Astyanax mexicanus: one gene and its partner. The protein of the gene in region 1 binds, or shares a complex with, the protein of each later gene. Links are inferred from orthologs where the notes say so. Each region holds a gene or a part of one and is shown on either strand. Other genes may lie near its edges.

Region 1 (11,371 bases):
TGGCAGACGCTTTTGTCCAAAGCGACTTACAATAGTCAAGTACAAAAGTAATAGAAGTTAAGATAAAACATTTTTAGATAGGGCTTAAAGGAGGTCGAAGGGAAATAAAGGGATAGAGAAGTGAAGGAGAAGTAGTTAGTGTGTTAGAGGTGTTAGGAGACTAAGTGCTCTTCGAAGAGTTCTGTCTTCAGGAGTCTCTTAAAGATAGTGAGAGATTCTCCTGATCTGGTAGTGGAGGGTAGTTTGTTCCACCATTGGGGAACTCTGTATGAGAACAGTCTGGATTGCTTTGTGTGAATGTTTGTTTGGCAAAGCGAGGCGACCTTCATTGGAGGAGCGCAGCGGCCGGAAGGTAACGTAAGTCTTCAGGAGTGAGTGCAGGAAGGAAGGAGCTGTTCTGTCATCACCTTGTAGGCGATTGTAAGAGTTTTGAATTTGATGCGAGCATCAACTGGTAGCCAATGGAGCTCAATGAGCAGTGGGGTGACATGTGCCCGTTTTGGTTGGTTGAAGACCAGACGTGCTGCTGCATTCTGGAGTGTAAAAAGAGACCAAATTGATGTGTTTCTTTGATTTTACCAAATTGAAAACCTCTGGAATATAATCAAGAAGAATATGGATGATCACAAGCCATCAAACCAAGCGGAACTGCTTGAATTTTTGCACCAGTAGTGGCATAAAATTATCCAAAAGCAGTGTGTAAGACTGGTGGAGGAGGAGAACATGCCAAGAAGCATGAAAACTGTGATTAAAAACCAGGGTTAAAACTTTACGAATATGAACTTGTTTTCTTTGCATTATTTGAGACCTGAAAGCTCTGTATCTTTTTTAGTTCAATAAAACAACAATGTTCATTTTATGTTCATATACCTATAAATAGCAAAATCAGAGAAACTGATTCAGAAACTGAAGTGGTCTCTTCATTTTTTCCAGGGCTGCATATTGCATTGTAAGCTCTGTATTAATGATACATCTTGCTGATACAGAGTCCTAATTATTTGAGACGATACATAAGACAGAACACACTGTACTAACATGTTTACCCTGTATTATTTCATACCCGTGTGCTGAACAGGATGGACGCGTGTGTTGTGGACTGTTTGTGTAAGCACTGTGTGTAGGTACAGGGTAGGCACTGTGTTGGCAGCATATGGCACTCAGATTATCAGCTTACCTGATTGGACAGGTGACTCAGAGAGCCCCGCCTAATCGGGCAGATCGGCTAATTGATTAGGCAGCAGGGACTTACCACTGCAATCCTATTCTCCCCTAAACACACACATTTACACACACAAGCTCCATTCTGTAGCTCCATATAAACAACTGCTCCACAAAAAAACACCTGCTTAACCACCTGACCTGAAACCCAGAGAAAACAACTCCATCTGTGATTTAAAAAAAATAAAAATATATACATTGTTATTCACTCTCCTGTCCTTTAACTTTTCCCTTTTATTGTATGAAAAGATAAATCAAAGTGTTACAGGTGCTATTGTAAAAGTTCTACACAACCAAACAACAAAACACACACACAGTAGTCTTGAGAGTCCTAACCACTCAATCATCACTGCCCCTGTGATCCATGTGCAATTTACAACCCACATAGCGTCCATGTTTAACCCCTACTGGTCCCCTCACGAACCCTGATGGGTCACTAACATCCACATGTGGGCCAACATGGACCCTGTGGACAAAATTCATGAGCTACCCACCCCTTTGCCATGCGCAGCTCATACAGACCCCACATGGGCACTTGGTCACTGTTACCAAGGTTGTGGGTTTGATACCAGGGGGGTATTGGTACACTATACTTTTTGGCCCTTGAGCTGCCGTGATGGATTGCTGCCCACTGCTCTGAACACATATAAGTTATAATTACGAGATACTAACTCATCATTTTGAGATACTAACTTATAATTATGAGGAACTATGTCATAGTAATGAGATACTAAGTCATAATTACGAAGAACAAACTCATCGTTATTAGATAAGTCATAACTTTAAGATACTTAATCATAATTATGAGGAACTAAGTAATTATTATGAGATACTAAATCATAATTTTGAGATATTTATAATTATGAATAACTAAGCCATAACAACAAGATACTAGGTCATAATTAGGAGGAACTAACTCATTATTATGAGAAGTCATAACTTTGAGATACTAACTTATAATTATGAGGAACTGAGTCATCATAACGAGATACTCAGTCATAATAATGTCATAATAATGAGATACCTACTGGTACTGGTCATTATTATGAGACAGCAATTCACAATAATGACCAAGTATCTCATTATAATGACTATGCATTTCATAATTATACATTATGACATAGTTTCTCATAATTATAGTTTCTTATTATTATGACTTATAATCTCATTATTATGACTAAGTATTTCATTATTATGATTTACTGGACGACTCTTTCTTTCAGGAACTCTTAGTGGTGTAGCACAGCATAGTCACCAAGGCCTGGAATTGAACCCCAGTCTCCCACATGGAAGCTCACTTGCATGCAGTGGTGTTATCCACTGAACCACACCAACCACTAACCACTAAAATTATCAACATACTTAAAATAAAAAATTCAAACATTGACACAAGTGACAATGAAGTGTAATTACCAGAATTGGAAACAGCATTACTGTTACGGAATTTAAAAATGTCAAATAACAACATTCAAAGAACATCCAGAAAACTTTACAGATTAAACTGTCTAAGAACATTAACTCCCTGCAAAAAAATCCAGTTCAAGACCAGCTGGGCTACCAGAAAAAAATATACTCTATTCTGGTGGGCTATTGATCAGATAGGTATTTTATCAGTAACGTTTAGAAAATGTTCTACTAACCAAAAACTGTAAGCTAGATAAACAATTTTAAAGAGTTTAAATTAACTCTGATACAGTAAGTTATTTGAGTTAGTTGATTTTGCTGTGCACAGCTGCACCACGCCCCCTTCCACATCTGCACTCCCCACTCTACCAGCAGAATGCAAAATCAGAATGCAGCGTGATTGCGTTCACACTGTTATCTTTATTTTGAATCAATTGAATGCTATCAACTAGAATTCGGATCGAACGCTCGCTCACCTTTGGGGAAGGGGTTGGGCTGCACGGCGTACAGCAGAGCGTGCACCATGTGGAACAGCAGACCGATGGGTCCGGGCTCGTAGTACGCGTGCGTCTCGTACACCACGGACGGGACGTAGCCGAAGTCCAGCACCTCAGCCGCGTGCGCCCGGTGCGTGTCCGCGCGCGCAGGGGCTCCGGTGGAGGCGGAATTCTTCTGCTGCTGCTGCCGATCCTCGCGCGCCCAACTGCACGAGCCCCCGCAGTAAAACAGCAGCAGCGCGAGCCGCGTTTTCCACAGCATCGCGAGCGGCTCTTACAGAGGAAGACCCCCCTAAAATAAACCGGATTCAATTAAAGCGAATTGATAAATGAATTAGGAATCCGAACCGGAGCAAAACCTCAGCACAGCTTAGATCAGATCCTCGCGTTCTTTCCCCGAATTCCACATAAAAAACAGGAGGAATAAAAGCTCCAGTATGAATTCAGGCGCGCGCCGGTTCCGCAGGACTCATCCTCCGTTATCTTCCACACTATCTCTCCTCCTTCTGCTGCTCGCGCGCCCAGGATACACCGCCGCTCCTGCTGGAGCGCGTGCGCGGGACTGTAGCCCGTCGAGTGTGTGTGTGTGTGTGTGTGTGTGTGTGTCATCACGCATGCGTAAATACACTATACCACTTTATTTTTAAATAGCATAGTAGTATTAACCTCATCAGACCTGGACTTTCTCCTACCTATGTGGGATTAGTAGTACCTAACAAGTATAAATATAAACTTTGTCTTTATACAGGAAGTTATTTTTGCAAAAAAACAATGCCTGCAATTCACAATTTTTTACGAATAATTTTATTGTAGCTTCCTATTATTACTAAATATTTGTCAAAAAAAGCATGACATATTAAGCCAGCCATGTTATTGTACTACACAAAGTACTGTCTCCAAAAGTGCCCAAATTTAGCATATTTTCACATTTAAGCATATTTTGCCCATTTAAAAATCCCACATTCATTTTTTTTGTTTGTTTCATTAGAAAGCAATAAAGGGGATGGCAGAAATAACCGTTGACTAATCAAGTAATCAGCTAATTAAAAAAAACAGTTAAATTAACTTTCAGACACCAAATAATGCAAAGAAAACAAGATCAATTTCTGAAAGAGTTTAGAGTTCAGAAATCAATTTTTGGTAGAATAATTCTGGTTTTTAATCACAGTTTTCATGCATCTTGGCATGTTCTTCTCCACCAGTCTTACACACTGCTCTTGAATAACTTTATGCCACTCCTGGTGCAAAAATTCAAGCAGTTCAGTTTGGTTTGATGGCTTGTGATCATCCATCTTCCTCTTGATTATATTCCAGAGGATTTCAATTTTGTAAAATCAAGAAAAAACATCTTTAATAAGTGGTCGATTATTTTTTTTCAGAGATGTATATAAACACAAAAGATATTCTAGACTGGGACTTTTTACTGTATATAAAGTATTTGTACTTTATAAACAGAACCTGAATGAACAGCTTATTCACTCGCATACCTGTTCTGTCCAAGTGAGGGTATGGGCTGCCCTTTCCCTCCTCTAAACACAAAGAGCTGTGATCTAATGCACAGACTGAGCCCCTTCGCCCCCGTCCCCCCAGTCCCGCCTGGCTGGGCTCATGTTTCTCTCAGTATAATAAGACTGCATCTGTAACAATCCCCTGACTTAAACACCATTCAGATCGCCCTCTCAGCACAGAGCTGAGCCAGCCGGGCCGGATCAGTCTGCCTTCCATGACTGTAGGAACGGTTTAATCCTCAAGAAATTTGACCTTTCTTGTAAATATGGACATTTTAAATGAGATTACAAATCATAGGAAATAAAAGAAATACTGATTGCAAACAAAATACACATTTACCCATCCTAGATGCCTCCGAGCACAGAGAAGTTAATGCCTCTTCTGGACATGGTTACCATGGTTACGAAGTTTTAAGTGGTGTTTATGAATGTAACTCTGTATTGTAGTGCTTGAAGATTGGCTAAAGTAATCCCTTGCCCATGTGGTCATATTTTATATATCTTTTGCTAAAATAGAGACAGCTTTGCACATCTTGTCTGGATTTTCTCAGGTAGAGTCACCTGGTATTCAGGATTCAGGAACAGCTGTGCTGAACTCGTCAAGAGTTCATTACTTGATTTTTTTTGAGTGCATCAGTTGTAAAGTTGTGAAGAGGTAGAGTTGGTATACAGTGAATATACCTATTTGAGTAATGTTCTAATCCATGTTATGGCAAAAACTACTTGACTAGGTAAAAATAAAAAAATACTTTAAGGAATAAAGGTCAGTAAATCTGAAACATTTCAAGAACTTTGACCAAAGACCATTCAAAACGTTGAAACTGGTTCTCATCAGGACTGCCCCAGGAAAGGAAGAGCAAGAGTTACCTCTGTAGCACAGGATAAGATCATCAGAGTTACCAGCCTCAGAAAATGCAGGTTTACAGCACCCCAGATAAAAACACTTGAGAGAATTTTTGTTTGTTTAACACTTTTAAGTTACTGCATGATTTCTTATGTGTTCCTTCATAGTCTGGATAAAAATAAAAAAAAACATTGAATGAGAAGGTGTGTTTAAACTTTTGGTACTGTTCATTAATTGGACCTCCTGGGTTTAAAGGAGAAGGTGGGGGGTCAAGGCCTTAATGCTACCTCCTTGAAATTAGTTTTTGCAGGGTGTCTGTCTGGTGTCGTCTGAGGGATGGAGATCACAAGCTTAGGCTTGTGCTTGTACGTCTTTATGTTTCAGGGCTGAAGGTGCAGCATTGGACGTTGCTGTTTTTACAAAAGAGATGCATGCATCTCAGTTTCACCATTTAACTTTTGACACAGTATGATATGAACATACATATGGATAAAGTGCAGAATGTTAGATTTAACCTAATAAACTCTTTGTGTGTAGTTCATGAATAGCTATCTAACCATCCACACATCTGCTTCTTTCTGCTTCTTTCAGATCAGGGTCGCAGTGGGTTCAGAATCTACCCGGAATCATTTGGCACGAGGCAGGAATACACACCCTGGACAAGGTACCAGTCCATCACACTACCTACTATTTTGGATTGGACCAAACAAGGTAGGTGTAAAATCCTTTCTTAGGTGTAATAAAAGTTAAAGGGCACATGTACCACTTTTTGTATGTATTATTTATGCTTGTTTTATGCTTTAAAGACAAAGTAATCTTTAATTTTAACATGGCCAACCTCTCAAGATCCCTTCAAATTAAACAGGCTGGTCCCATCAGGGGTGACACATTTTTAAACACCTAATTTTACCTACAAAAGTGACTTAATTCAATTACTATTTTAGAGACAGTTCAGACAATTTATCACCAACAATGAGTTCATGGGAGTTCATGCATTTTACTTATTTTTTGATGAATACGCCACTGTTACTCAAAGTAAATAAGGCAATTCTTACTCCTAATGTTTCACTGTTTAATTGAACATGCATTTAACTTGGCCTAGGGTTCATTTTGAGGGCGCATATTGAAAAAAAAAAATAGGTTTCAGCAAAAGCTGGATATTGTGAAATGGCAGTGGGCCTGACGATTCCTTCTCCAGGTTTACTTGCATGCGGTGAGTTTTAGAGGTAGGTGTATTCTCCTTTCAATCATGTAAAATTTATTATTTTATGAAGCAATAGAAACAGCACTGTATGGACTAATATTTTATGTTAAATGTGGGGGGGGGGGGGGGGCGGGGGCACATGGTGGGTAAGATCCATCTGTGATCAATGAGTCTGGGTCCACTGCAGCCTCAGCTTTCTGTTCTTGGCAGACAGAAATGGAACCCGATGTGGGTCTTCTGCTGGCACACTTTAATTTGACAGAGATAGGCTGTCCAAAACGCTTGTAATGCTTTGAAAGTACTACATAACCTCATATTTAAAAAAGAAAGTCCTTAAAATTCTGAATGTTTCCCGAAACCTTTTATAACTAGTACTTAAATTCTTTCATAAGTTTGGAGACTAAGAGAAATCAGTACTGTACCATCACCTTTCTGTAGCAGCACCATGCTGCCTCACGATTGAATAACTGCTTAAAAAGTAGATGTACGGGTGTTTCTAATGTATTGGTAATACATATAATAACTTGCTCAGTCTGTGTGTAAGAGACCTCTTTCAGAAAAACGCACAGATCGGATCAGAGTCAAAAATCCCTGGAGTTTAGCAGGCATGATAACAGCTCAGCTACACACACAATCTCTCCCTTTATATGTAAGCTGGGATTAGATAAGTCCCACGCTTCAGGAATCAGGACTGATTTGATCTGTGCTGCAGGTAAAATATAAGTGCATTGCTTTGTCTCTCTCACACACACACATTCAAAAACATATATACACATTTTTTTATTCCGCATAGTTCCCAGCTTAATCTTGGTACATTAAGCTGTTAATAATCAACTTTTTTAATAAACCCAAAATGCTAAATACTGATGGTTAGAATTAACGCTGAAAGACAAGCAGTGTAGTAGTGTACCTCTTGTTACAAGATTAATGACTGCTAGACATGAAAAAATAAGGAAAACATCTGGAATATAATCAAGAGGAAGACGGATGATCACAAGCCATCAAACTGAGCTGAACTGCTTTATTTTTTTTCTATCCAAAAGCAGTGTGTAAGACTGGTGGAGGAGAACTTGCCAAGATGCATAAAAACTGTGAAAAAAAGTGATTTTACAAAATATTTTTAAGATTTCTGAACTTCAGAGAAACTGATTCAGAAACTATAGTTGTCTCAAATGCATCACAGAGGCATGTAAAGCAGTCAACAATCTCTTACCAAGAGGTACACTACCCAAAGGTTGCCACTTTTGTACAAAGACCCAGTGTCTAATCATATCTCATCTGTAATCATTTTTGCGATAACCCAGTATGTTTTTTTGGTGAAAAGAGAAATTAGGAAATAGTGTTTCATCTTCTACCTAATGAAGATCTGCTTATCTTCTGCTGTATAAATTTACGAGTGTACACCCAGCTTATTACTGTATGTGTATGAAAATATGTCTCTTGAGGTATGTATGCTATGTATTGTTCAATAATACTGTCACAGAGTGCAAGTAATAATATATGATGATATGACAGGCCCATGAGCATGTATTGTACGAAATGTTCGGTAGAGGAGATCTGCTTACATCTTTAACTCCATGTGGACCAAAACTGCCTTTCTGGACCGAAACCATGGCAACATGCTGCATAGCAACAATCAGTGCACACACAGACATCATTCTAGAATTAGGAGTATCCACCCCCCCCCCCCCCCCCCAATAAATCAATCTTTATTAAATCGATATTTAAAAATTATGCTACACTAATTAAACATATTTGTCACTATTTAAAATGCTGTGTATTTTAGGCAAAATGTATAGACAAAATATTAATAAACTAATAATTTTTTAATTATTATTGTACATGTAAAGATTGGTGTCATACTTTTGTTCATAGTGATGTGTTTAAACCCATCCAATAGAAAGCATTCTAGTTGTTCTATTTGGATGAAAAGTTAACTTTTCTTCTACTCAGATTTTAGAAATATGTTTTTCTTAAACTTAATTTAAACAATCACATTACATCACCCTTCATACAGTATCACAGTACATCATAACCCCTCTATCATGATAGGTTTCATATCGCTAAGTTCTTCCTAATACACAGCCCTACTCTTAACTCTAATATAAAACAGCATTACATCTGCAATATATATATATATGGCTGCAAAATAAGTCAAACTTCTAATCTCATTATTTTGTATAACATTTCTAAGACAAATCAACAGTATTTAAGTTACTTAGTGAATCTCTTAGTTTTTAATAAATTATAATGTGTAAAAAATGAATAAAATCCCTGTCTTTAGACGTGTGGAATCTAGATTGAGCTTAGCACACAGAGTTACATATATAATACTTCTCTCTACCACAAAATCTGTTTGTGACCTAAAGCTTAAGCGTACTTGGGTTCTGCAGCAAGACAATGATCTGAGACACACCAGCAAGTCAAAACGTTTTGGAGTGGCCTAGTCAGTTTTAAATAAAGATTCACTGCCAGTTATCACAAATGCTTAATGGCAGTTGTTGCCATCCAGGGAGGCAATTTGTTTTTCACATATTGCCAGGATGACTTTGACTTAGGACAGCTTTTTTTTTCTTGTAATAAAAGAAATTATCATTTAAAAACAATCTTTAAACATTTACTCAGGTTATCTCTGTCCGAGATTAAAGTAAATTTGGAGCAAAAGCAAAAGCTTTTTCAGAAGCATAGTACACATGCACAGAAATAAAATAATTCAAGTGGTACAAAACAACAAAACTTTTATTCACAAATGCAATACCTTTCATGTGCCCGCCCCCATTCCTTCCCGTCCCACCCCCCTGAAAATACATCACTTACAAAGGATGTGAAATGATCCATCTGCTTCTGCTCTTACAGAAAAAGCTAATCAATAACTCAGTAACTGCAGATATCGATATTAATCAATAAAATAAGAGGAAACATACTGTATCTGTATGAATCAGAAAAAAAGAGAGAGAGAATAAGAGAGGTGAGAAGAGGCTATGTTCAGACTGCTAGTCCAAATCAGATTTTTATATCTAGATTGTGTCCAGATTGCTTTTTAATTGTCTGTACAGACTAAAACCACATTAAATCAGATTTTTGCAAGTCGGATCCAAACCACATTTGTCTGAGGTGGTCTGAAATGCGATTATAATCAGATTTGCAGAGATGCCTGATAATCAGATTTCAGTGCGTCTTTTGCAACATTTACAATACGACAACCAACAACCTCATCAAATCCAGAGTAATGAATTAAAGGCATCAATCTTTATAACACAGGAAACTGAACAGATACATTTGTGATATCTGGACGCACAAGTTCTATCTAATCATAATAACAATTGCTCTGCAGTCTGATCATAGTCTTGAAGTCTGATAGGTTAGAAAGCATTTAGCTTAATATCTTACAAAAAGACCCAACATTTGCACACACTATGCAGATAGAATTGAGATATAAAGGTTATGTGCTGGTATAGATTATCCCAGTACACACTGGGGTTTGGGGACTGACTGCTGGACCTTATTACATGCTAAGCTTAGTGATATCAGAGGAAAAAAAACATTGGGGCAGCTTCCATAATTATAGATGAAAATTCAGCAAGAAAAAATGTCCAAATAAAACAAAACCTAAAAGATACGATGGCAAACTTCATATTTGACTTGTTTCTTATACTAAATATATACACTGACATACCAAATGGCATGAGACAGGAGCTATTATTGTGTCCCTTGCATTGCTAAATTTGCTTGATCATTTGTGCACACAGGCAGTTCTAGACAAAAGCAACTCAGTACACTGTCCACTGTGGGTGGTAATGCCTTCTATGACTTATATAACTTCTATGACTGATAGGAATATTAAACGCCCACACAACTTCAAAAATTAAACGTCCCTTCCTTCTGGCACTGACTATTAGGCCGCACTCCCATAATTCACCTGGCCTTGCCATGAGCATGCTGGCCAGTGTCCAACATCACTCACAACTTAGAATACAGGTGTGGGCATTCCCAAGGCAAAACTTCATTATTAAAATACACACTGCTGTCCCATGACTTTTGGCATGTCAGTTATTTTTATTTTATTTTTATTAAATATCTATTTTATACTTATGCATGTATTATGAAGTCTTACTCCTTCAAAAAACACACTGAAGTTTGAAAAATTAAAATGAGAAAAGAAAAAAGGAAACAAGAGCAATGCCAACATTTTTCAAGAAAATCCTAATGTTTGTTTTAAACATGAAAGCTTTGTATTTCCATAGTACTTCTCTAGATATTCTGTCCTATAAGCTGTTATTATAAGCACCAAAAATCAGAAAGATTTATTTCATCTTTAAAGATTAAAAAAAAAAATAATAATTTTAATTCACCCACAGGTCAGAACCACTCAGTAAACTAGATCAATAAATAAGAATCTTAAAGACTGAGGAGCTACCCATACCCATGTTATAATGTATGATAGATATTTTTTGTTCATGTAACCACATAAACTGAAATATAGTTTGATTTAGTAAACTAAAGTGCATTTTTCAGTCCATATGTTCACATATATTTTTTTATTATTAAGGTGGTCTAAAATAATACTATATTAAATGTCGAATCAGGATGTTTTTGGAGTGACGCCATTTAAACAGAGCAAAATCAACTTTACAGGCAGTCAAACAAACGGAAGAGCAGAACTCCTGGATAAATAATAAGAAACATAATAATACAG
Region 2 (11,480 bases), on another chromosome or scaffold:
TTTAGAACCCACTCCCAGTCACGGCAGCCTACCTAATCTAAAGTTTATACCTGCAGTGAATGAAAACACAGTTTATTTCTTTTAAAACCTGGCTACTGTGGGTAAGATCTATTACTCAGACTCAATAAATTAAGGGTTAATAATGGAAATTGGCTTAGCTTTGGGCTGTGTATAAATTTGCAATACCGATACCAGTATGGTACCTTAAACTTGATACAAATACCCAAACGGTACTTTTTAGGTATACCACAGTAGTTATTTATTTTATTGCATGACTTGGCATTAATATAGGTTTCTGAGTTACTGTACTGTTAGTAGTACATATAATATAAAATTAAGGCTTTGATTAGTATTGGGTTTACTTTATCGCACAAGAAATCAGACTCATTATCAGAAAAACAGCTGAAGAACATAAATAGACCTTAAAAATATACGCCAACAACTTTGACACAACTTCCTTTACAAAATATTTTAAATAGTTCCATAAACACTATAAATGGACCTAAAATACTCTATGTTTAAAAACTACTATGTTTAAGTATTCAAAGAGATATTTCTCAAAAGCTCTATTGCACAAGTAAGACACAAGTTTTATATAAATTTACTATATGTTACTCCCGAAGCCAATAGAGGCATTATAGTATTTAAATCTGCCACAATTCCTCTTTCTCCATTTAAAAAATCTATTCAAATAATTCAAGCTACAGTATAAATATATTTAAAAGGGCTGTAGTTACTGCTCTATTTTACTGGGATAAAAACACTCATACAGTAGAAACAGAAGCAGCCAACATGAGTAATCTCATCCTCATCTTGTGTGCGTCACGGCGCCATAATGGTTGTTTTTACCGCGCTGTGTGAGCTCTCTCGCGTTTGGTGCGTTTCATGCGAAATATTGAAAACCAGCACCCAAATTTCTTTAGACATTTCGTCACTCGTAGTACCAAGACATTTCAACCGGTAACCATTGCTATCGATTTTTATACCCGGCCCTATCCACCTTATTAAACACAATTATGGCTCTAACTGGGTCAGTGTTCAGTATTGATGATTAACAATGAAATGACTTAGAAATCATATTTGCATTTTTGGTAGTACAAAGAGTTTATCAACAGATTTCATTTGCTATGTATATCACCATGTTTCTTTTATTACAATTTTACACTTTTCCTTAACTAAGAAGGTTTTGCATGGTTCCATTTTTAAAAGATATGTTTGTATGCTGATTTTAATACTAATACTGCTATTAAGTTTTATTGTGTTTGTATACTATTGAAAACATATAGCCCTAAATTGTGCTGTTTATGTATATTCTGCCACATCTTCAAAAAAAAAAACAAAAAAACCCTGAATCAACTTTTTTAATTTCAGTAAATTTTAAGAATGTATAACGTAATTGTAATAAATAATCTCTCATACATTTGAATGTAAACCATATAAACCACAGCAATACCACTGAGCCACATACTACCATATCAGAATATATGCATGTAAGCAAATTATTTAAGAGTGTGTATTAAAAGTTATGTTTATTCTTTTTCCCCCAATCTGCACCAAATGACAATCATGAGATGTTTCACACAACCCTAAAGACTAGGCCTGTCATGATATCTATTTTTATTGGGTTATTTAATTTTGTTGTCCAAAAAATAAACAAATGACAAAATTGTTATTATTTGACCAGTTTATGCTATTGATATGATAGCATAATAATACAATTGCAATGTTTTAGCAATTATTTAGACTACAATTATTAGGGAATGGTGAGACATGAGATTTGGTAAATACATTTTAAATAATATAAATAAAATGTGAAAAAAATATTTGTGGAAACGTGGACCTATCAGCCGATTTATGTTTATGGGCTATTCCTGCTAAGAAAAGCATAATTAGAAACGTTGAGGTGAACAAATTAATTAATTAATTAATTGGGATAAGAAGACTAGAGCAAAATCTGCAGTGTCTGCAACTCTAGTCATCTAATAAAGATGAACCTGAATCAGATCTGAGAGATCAAAACACTTACATCTTCCACATTCTCCAGATCATCCAGTCCCTCGTCTTCCTCAACATCATCAAAATCTCCATCATCAAAGCTGAAACGGACAGAAGAGGATCAGATTAAAGCAGCAACACTCAGAAAGCACCGATTATACAGGAATCAGACTGACAGCACATTTAACACACATCCCCCAGACAGAGAGTTTAAACACTCATTAATACACTGCCTGGCAAAAACACTGACATTAATACACTGGCAAAAAAAAATCACCACGTGGATTTAATTAAAAAAATAGGTAAGAGCCTTCAATTGGATAATTACTGCATAAGTGATTAAGTTTGATGCAGTGAGTAGCTCCTAATTTGTAAAAACATCCATGTGGAAAGACTCATCCTTTGGTCATAGAAAATATGTTGTTGTTGTTTTTTTTTTTGTTTTTTTTTTTTAGAAAAGTCTAATTATTGGCATGCATTAAGCAAAGAAAACATCTTAGGAGATGGGAATCGGGTTATCGCATTATTAAAAACTTGAAGGACAGAGGGGAACATCATCTTCCTGGAAGGAAGAAAAAAGAAAAAAAATCTTGAATGAACATGATCTGCAATCATTTAAACACTTGGTGAAATCAAATGGTAGAAAAAACTAGAACTCAGTGACATTGTTAATAGTGAAAGTAAGAGCATTTCCACATGCACAACTCAAATTTGAGGGAGAATAAAGATTGGACTCAATGGAGCAATGGAAGAAGGTCATGTGCTCAGATGAGTCCAGATTTACCCTGTTCCAGAGTGATGGGCGCATGAGGGTAAGAAGAGTGAAGGCTGTACCCATGCACCAATCATGCCTAATGTCTACCGCATTTTGCACTATAAGGTGCACTTAAAATCCTTTAACTTTCCCAAAAATCATCAGTACACCTTATAATTCACTGCTCACGATCAATAACTGTCTATTTTTTGTCTATTTTAATAAATAAGGCTCGCCGGATTATAAGCCACATTATGCAACACTATTAAGGAACAGGGGTGTCTCTTTATGTTAATCTACACAGATTTCTCTTCTGAAAATTGTTTATTTGGGTGAGTAAAGAGCTTTTGTTTATTTACTGTAAGCTTAGATTTTCTGATTTCCACTAAGGTTGGGTGCAGCAATATTAACATTAGCAGCTAATCACTAGCACTAGCCATGGTTAGCACCTAACACCGCCCGCCAGCACTACATTAAGGAACCCTGAGTGTTCCAGTAAGCCAGGCTGATATTAGCTAGCGATTCATCCCACATAGCTTGTTTTAACACGGTAAACACGCAGACTACAGTCTGATATATTCACCTCTAAACAGAAAAAAGAAGGCTAGTGCTTAACGCAGTTAGCACATAATGCTAATGCTGCTCCAGCAGTGCTAGTCGGGGTAAGCAGCAGGCTACAGGCCGATAATACTCACCTCTGAATGGCGAAAAAAATATCGCTTAGTGGGTAATGCTAATACTGCTGGAGAACTAAACTGAATCTCCTGTATAACTCTGTACTTCAGCAGAGTGACTTGAAGGATGAAATGATTTTAAGTGCACCTAAAAGGGCAAAAATACAGTACTATACAAGCCTGTGGTGCAGTGATATGACCTGGGGTTGCTGCAGTAGGTCAGGTCTAGGTTCAGCAACATTATTGCTGAAAACACTACTGAGCTGACTGAAATATAACACACTATTTAGGTTATTATCAAAATACTTTGCATTATGGATTCTCATAACCTTTAAAATTACATAAGATTAAAAGATTACACCGAAATCATATTTTCCAGCTTAATCACTTTATACTTGCTGTCCTGCATGCGTCCACCCGGTTATGGCAAACTGCATGACTGGATGGACCATTTTATTGAAAACTGGCATTTGATAGTAACATGTTTGATATAGAGTTGCAGACATGTTGAATTATTCATGATGACCTTTTCTGCTTTAAATATACATCCTGATTTTACAATATGACTTTAATTACCATAATATTTTAATATATTGTTTGTCATTAGCATTTTCTTAAAATAGGTGTAAAACGTACTTTAATATATCAAAAAAGAAATGAAGTTTTACTTAGTTTTCGAATTTTATAGTGTTTTTTTTTCACATTTCATAATTTTTTTTCACAATTTCCATATTTCATTGTTTTGTGCAATTTAGATTATAAGACTGAAAAAAACCCCTGAAAATCTAACCTTTATCAGTTCAATTTTCTAACCTCTTAAGGTTAAACTCTGGTTGATTGTAGTAAAAAAAAAAAAAAAAAAAAAAAAAAAAAAAACTGGGTGTAAAACAGAGAGACAAAAATACTACTACTACTACTACTACTACTACTACTAACAACAACAACATTACAAATGAGTCAATACTTTATATATATATATATATATATATATATATATATATATATATATAATTATATAATATATTATATATATAAAATTATGACTATTTCTATTAGTAGTTGTCTCTGATATAAACTCTGGCTAAACTTGGTTATCAGTGGTTTATTAATAACGTTATTGATATTAGTAGTAGTAGTAGTGGTATTGCTTCTAATATAACCTGGTAAACTCGGTTATTTAATCAGTGGGTTATTAATAATGTTATTTATATTAGTAACTTAGTAGTAGTAGTGGTATTGCTTCTAATATAACCTGGTAAACTCGGTTATTTAATCAGTGGGTTATTAATAATGTTATTTATATTAGTAGTAGTAGTGGTATTGCTTCTAATATAACCTGGTAAACTCGGTTATTTAATCAGTGGGTTATTAATAATGTTATTTATATTAGAAATAATAGTAGTATGGTGGTAACATGGTGATATAAACTGGGTAAACTCGGTTATGTAATCAGTGGGTTATTATTAATGTTATTTATATTAGAAATAGTAGCAGTAGTGGTATTGTTTCAGATATAAACTGGGTAAACTCGGTTATTTAATCAGTGGGTTATTAATAATGTTATTTATTTTAGTAGGAGTACCGTAAGTATTGTCTCTGATATAAAGTCTGGGTAAACTCGGGTTGTTTAGCGATTATAAACACTTACTTGTCCTCGTTGTCAGACATCCTGGATTGAGTGAGGATCTACTGGTTAAACTAGAGGCTTATTTAGAAGTAAATTACAGTAAAATAACCTATTTATTCTATCAGTAATTAAAGCCACACCGCAACCTGCACCCCGCGCTGCTTCAGCGGTGTTCTCCTGTAAACTGTCCGGGTAGAAACACGGAGCGCACACCGAAAATGACCTGTGGCGGGGAGAGGGAGAGGGAGGGAGAGGGAGGGAGGGGGAGGGAGAGGGAGGGAGAGGCGTTGTTTATACCGCTAAATAAAACTTCTCAATGTGACAATTAATGCGGTAAAGTTTCCAGATTCACGGTATCATCACGTTATCACAGAAATAAACGCAAACAGAATCAGATTTTGCAAATTGCATAGACTCATATTTTGTTCTGAAGCTCATTTTAGTCATAATTATGATTTTTTGGAAAAAAAACATGGGTCCCACACTAAGTCATAATTATGAGATAATTGAGATAATATCTTATAACTATGACTTGCTATGCCATAATTATGATTTATTATCTGATAATTATGACTCAATATTTCAGAATGATGACTTAGCATCTTATAATTATTACTTTATTATTTCATAATTCTGGGAGAAGAATGTTTTCCCAGTCTTGTCTGATAAAGGATTGTAGCCAATCAAAAGAGTGCCATGCACTACTGCAATGCGAGTGCCATGCACTAATGCAACAGAGATGCAGGCTTTTAAACTGTGCGCAGTATGAGAAAATAAACACACACATGACACAATTAAATGTTTAATGTTTTGTTTTTTTTGTTTTTTGCACTGCCATCATAATGTTTATCACAAGCCGCCACTTTAAACGAGTTATTGTTTTTATCTGTAATTGTAACATTCCAGCACATCCTGTGATTTCCGTGCTCTATTGAGAATAAAACATATTTAATCTATTAGATTTAAATTCTAATAATAATTACACAGCACAGCAGCATCAGTAGATCTCTTTGCCAGTGCGGAGAATGAGCCTTTGCATAAATGCTCTAGCCATGAGACCTGCTTTAGGCTTTTCTCTCTGACAGAACTGAAGGACAGTATATAGACACACCTAGCTGGATCCAGAGCTGGTTAAACTGGATCAGGTGTGTTAGAATAGAATAAAATCTGCTTATTTAACTCCTGAATTTAACACTTAAAATGAAAAATGTCTAAACAGCAAGGAGGAACAGAACACAATACTGTAATAATATTGATTCATAATATTTTTTCTCTCACTGGTCACGTTGCAATTGCAATTGAACTGCTAAAAAAATACGTTTGTTTTTTGCTAATATAATTAAAAATGTTAGACAGCTCTTTTGGGGTTAAACATGAGAATGTTTAGAAATTATTAAATTATTAATTTATCTACTATGAAAAATGTATCAAAGAAGAAGAACAAATTCTAGACATTTTCCAAGGAGCTGAGTGGAACACTGTTTACTAGATTGTCCAGAAGGTGTCGTTGTTGCATAAGGCATTCCTCAGAATCTATATCCAGGGCCAGTTTAAATTATCCTCAGTTACAACACACCACATCTTCAGTTAATTATTAAACCCTTTAAGATCTGGATCAGGTTTGGTGTGTTCAGGGCATAGCTGTGTGTGGTAAGCACCTTGTGAGCATTGGAATGTAAAAGCACTGATATTCTGGTATATATTTGATAGAAATCTGAAAGTGATTCTACAACACATTTATATCATAAAACAAGTAAAGAGATCTGCCCAGTTTCTACAGTAACAGAATATTTAAGAATTTCACTAGTCTGGATTTGTTAGATTTCAGTACAGCTGAAGATTTGTGTAATATGTGTGAATTGTGGCTTCTTATTATGACTCTTTAGCATGAACTGAACTCACAATAAAGACAATAATTTCCAATAAAACACCCAGTGTCATTAAAAAAGAAACAGAAAGTAATAGGAGAGTTTGTTGTTTAGAGCAGCAGATAGCAGAGTTCAAAGTGTGGCTTTTCAGAGTGTAGTAAATGTGTTGGATTGTACTCTGGTTAAGTGATAAAACTGTATTTTACTACTCTATCCCACAATCTTACTACCGAACAATCTCTGTGAACGCATCTCAGTATTGGTGTAATATCTATTATCAGTGTCCTTTAAAGCAGTGATCATTTCATTTATGCTTTTATAAAGTTGGTGTATAATTATTGTTTGAGCCTGTTCTTGAAGAGCTATATTTTAAGCTCTGAAAGTACTTTAAAATGAACACATTATTACATAGAAACATATTACATAGACAAATATTATATTTACTTTATACTGTCCAGTTAACACCATAACTTTGGTGGTGGACTATTTGTAATAATGTTATATGAGAGATAAACCTTAAAGACATACTGGCCTTCTGCTCACATAGCAATGGTAGAAAGAAACCTGTATGACTGAATTCTGCAGATTATGTGGAAGTCAGCTTTTAGACTGTGGAGAGTAGTGTAATGATCAAATTAAACCTGGAATGGTAGGAATTGGCTGAAATACAATAATTAAAAAACATAATAAATAGAAAAAAACATAATAAACAGAAACAGAAAATGATAATTTGTGAATAATAAAGGAATACAGAAAATAGGAAGAGAAATAAAATAGAGATTTAACAAATGGAAAAAATTGTTAAATCTCTTTGTTTTTTTTTAGGGACAGTTTGGAAGTCAGAGGCAGCTCACAGGGCTTAGAGTTAGAGAGGTATTCCATTTTTTTTTCAAATAACAACCATAAATTGTATGTATTTTATTGAGATTTAAGTGATAGACCAACAAAACGTAGCACATAATTGTGAAGTGGAACAAAAATGATACATGGTTTCCAAAATTTTAATCATAAAAATCTAAAAAATATGTCATGCAAAAGTATTTAACCCCCTTAATTCTGAACCCTCTAAATAAAAACCAATGCAATTAATTGACACTTAATTAGGTAATAGAGTCCAGCTGTGTGTTATTTACAGCTGTTCTGTATCATGGTTTAATAGAGATCTCTCTAGTGATTAACAGTGACATAACATATACAGCTCTGGTCATGCAGGAGATGTGTTTTGGTCTCATGGTTCCTGACTCCCAGTCGCTGACCGTAAGAACAGCACCGAAAAACAGAGGTTTAGTATCTTAAATCCATTTTGTGTCAAGCAGACCACTAATATCAGTTTTTCTGCTTAAACTGTCAGAAACAAGTGGGGCTTGTTGTTACAGCCCAACACTGTGCAGGGATATCCATCAATGGTAGGTAGCATCACAGACTGTCTAGGAGTTGACTGATGCTTTAATACAGATCAGGAGCACGCCCAGGCGTTGTAGGAAGGTCATACAGGACCTGGTGTTCGCTTTATTTATTTGTGAAAAAGTGGCGCTGCGTTTCCACTACATTCCGCTGTGGGGCGCTGATGAGCTGCGTATTTAAAGTGAAAGTAAAAAATAATCAGTCCGACATTTTGTTGTTTATGAGATGCAGGTATAACAGGTGACACAAAATGGCTTTAAGATACTAAACCTCTGTTTTCCGGTGCTGTTCTTACGGAGGTCCGGTGCAGCGTTAGAATAGGACAACTGTTTGAGCAGCGTTTATAAAGAGGTAAGAGTCTACACCCACCCACAACTAACCCTAAATTCTTACAGCTCTGTTTTTGATCCGGGAAAAGGTTTTTGTTGTTGCTGAAAAAGGTTAACCAAACCTGCACATGAAAACTACTGTCCGTACCCGGACTGTGGTCAGAATTTGAAAAGCTGGCTTTTCTGTTTATGTATGTGTGTATGTATGCATGTATGTATGCTAAAGCAGGTTGGATTTTCTGTTAGATTTTTTTAGTTCATTTCACTGTTTTTATTTTCATATTTCTTGTGCAGAATATTTAGTACAGCTAGCTGTTTGTCACAGCTTTGTCCATCAACCGACTACTCAACTTAAATTTAATATATTAGAAAATGTTTTGATTTTTACTGTGGATTATGACACAGTATTCAACATGATGATTATGCCAGTAATGTTGATTACATGTTGATTATGCCAATTAATTGCAATACGCTAGGAGAAACATTGCACTGTACAAGCCCTTACAATACTGCACTTTGCAGAAAGGCTGCAGTCAGAACATACAGTCATGGCCGAAAGTGTTGGCACCCCTGATTTTTTTTCCAGAAAATGAAGTATTTCTCCCAGAAAATTATTGCAATTACACGTTTTGTTATACACATGTTTATTTCCTTTGTGTGTATTGAAACAACACAAAAAACTGAGGAAAAAAAGCAAATTTGACATAATTTTACAAAAAACTCCAAAAATGGGTCGGACAAAATTATTGGCACCCTCAACTTAATATTTGGTTGCACACCCTTTGGAAAAAATAACTAAAATCAATCTCTTCCTATAACCATCAACAAGCTTCTTACACCTTTCAACTGGAATTCTGGACCACTCTTCTTTTGCAAACTGCTCCAAGTCATATTTGAAGGGTGCTTCTCCCAACAGCAATTTTAGGATCTCTCCACAGGTGTTTAATGGGATTTAGATCCGGACTCATTGCTGGCCACTTTAGAACTCTCCAGCGCTTTGTTTCCATCCATTTCTGGGTGCTTTTTGAAGTATGTTTGGGGTCATTATTCTGCTGGAAGACCCATGACCTAGGACTGTAACCCAGCTCTCTGACACTGGGCCCTACATTGCGACCCAAAATCCTTTGATCTTCAGATTTCATGACGCCTTCGCATTCAAGGCACCCAGTGCCAGAGGCAGCAAAACAACCCCAAAACATCTTTGAACCTCCACCATATTTGACTGCAGGTACTGTGTTCTTTTCTTTGTAGGCCTCATTCTGTTTTCAGTAAACAGTAGAATGTTGTGCTTCACCAAAAATCTCTATCTTGTTCTCATCTGTCCACAAGATGTTTTCCCAGAAGGATTTTGGCTTACTTACATACATTTGGCAAACTGCAGTCAAGCTTTTTTAGCAGTGGGGTCCTCCTGGGTCTCCTGACATAGTGTTTCATTTCATTCAAATGTCGTCGGATAGTTCGAGCTGACACTGATACACCCTGCGCCTGCAGGACAACTTGAATTTCTTTGGAACTTGATTGGGTCCACCATCTGGACTATCCTGCTTTGCAACCTTTTTTATCAATTTTTCTTCTCCGTCCATGTCCAGGGAGATCAGCTACAGTGCCATTGGTTGTAAACTTCTTGATTATGTTGCGCACCGTGAACAAAGGAACGTCAAGATCTCTGGAGATGGACTTGTAACCTTCAGATTGTTAATAATTTTCCACAATTTTGGTTCTTAAGCCCTCAGACAGTTCTCTTCTCCTCTTTCTCTTCTCCATGCTTAGTGTGGCACACACAGACACACAATGCAAAGATTGATTCAATTTCTCTCCTTTTTATGTGGTTTCAGGCATGATTTTTAAATTGCCCACACCTGTTACTTATCACAGGTGAGTTTGAATGAGCATCACATGCTTGAAACAAAGTTATTACCCTCAATTTTGAAAAGGTGCAATAATTTTGTCCGGCCCATTTTTGGAGTTTTGTGTAAAATTATGTCAAATTTGCCTCTTTTTCCTCAGTTTTTTTGTGTTTTTCCACACAAAGAAAATAAACATGTTTATAACAAAACATGTGTAATTGCAATATTTTTCTGGGAGAAACACTTCGTTTTCTGGAAAAAATTCAGGGGTGCCAATACTTTCGGTCATGACTGTATATATACTAGTATATGTGTTATATACTAATGTCTCTCAAAAAATAGATTATCATTGAAAAGCTACTTTAATTTAGTAACTAATCAACAATAAAATAAATAAATGTTTAAAATAGATCACTCTGTGTGTAATACCACACAAAAAGTGATCAAGTTTAAGCTTTTTTTTATTATTATTGTTGATTATGGCTTACAACCCAAAAATCAGTATCTCAGAAAATCAGAAAATATTTTATAAAACCAATGGGTACTTTTGGCAGTGTGGGCAATGTGCAAAGTCCTGCTGGAAAAAAAATCCACATCTCCATAAAAGTTGACAGCAGAGGGAAGCATGGAGTGCTGTAATATTGACTGACACTGACTTTGGACTTGATAAAACACAGTGGACCAACACCAGCAGATGACGTGGCTCTACAAACCATCACTGATCATCAGTAAAATTAAGGGAGCAGAGTCTGGAGGAAGAGTGGAGAGACACACAGTCCAAGCTGCTTGAGGTCTAGTGTGAAGTTTCCACCAATCAGTGATGGTTGGAAGAGCCATATCATACACACACACACACACACACACACACATGCACACACACACACACACACACACAGTGGTCTGAAAAAAAGAGGTCTAAAATTTAAAATGTAGTGAAATGAGCACAGAATTAAAATATGCCTACTCTGTTTGTGTTCTCTTT

The links.
Region 2: gtf2e2 (region 1) and polr2f share a complex: the UniProt entries of both Homo sapiens proteins name them as parts of the TBP-based Pol II pre-initiation complex. The link is inferred for Astyanax mexicanus from reciprocal best matches to the Homo sapiens genes GTF2E2 and POLR2F.

The regions. Positions count from the first base shown.
Region 1 is NC_064432.1:19,868,316-19,879,686, forward strand, and holds the start of gtf2e2 (transcription initiation factor IIE subunit beta), read left to right. Parts: upstream 1-6,157; 5' UTR 6,158-6,182; intron 6,183-9,396; exon of another isoform or gene 9,397-11,371. Other genes in the region: prom1b (prominin 1 b), read right to left, coding at 3,099-3,381. UniProt on the Homo sapiens protein: Recruits TFIIH to the initiation complex and stimulates the RNA polymerase II C-terminal domain kinase and DNA-dependent ATPase activities of TFIIH. Both TFIIH and TFIIE are required for promoter clearance by RNA polymerase.
Region 2 is NC_064410.1:9,738,112-9,749,591, forward strand, and holds the start of polr2f (DNA-directed RNA polymerases I, II, and III subunit RPABC2), read right to left. Parts: upstream 5,246-11,480; 5' UTR 5,092-5,245; coding exon 5,072-5,091; intron 2,097-5,071; coding exon 2,027-2,096; intron 1-2,026. UniProt on the Homo sapiens protein: DNA-dependent RNA polymerase catalyzes the transcription of DNA into RNA using the four ribonucleoside triphosphates as substrates.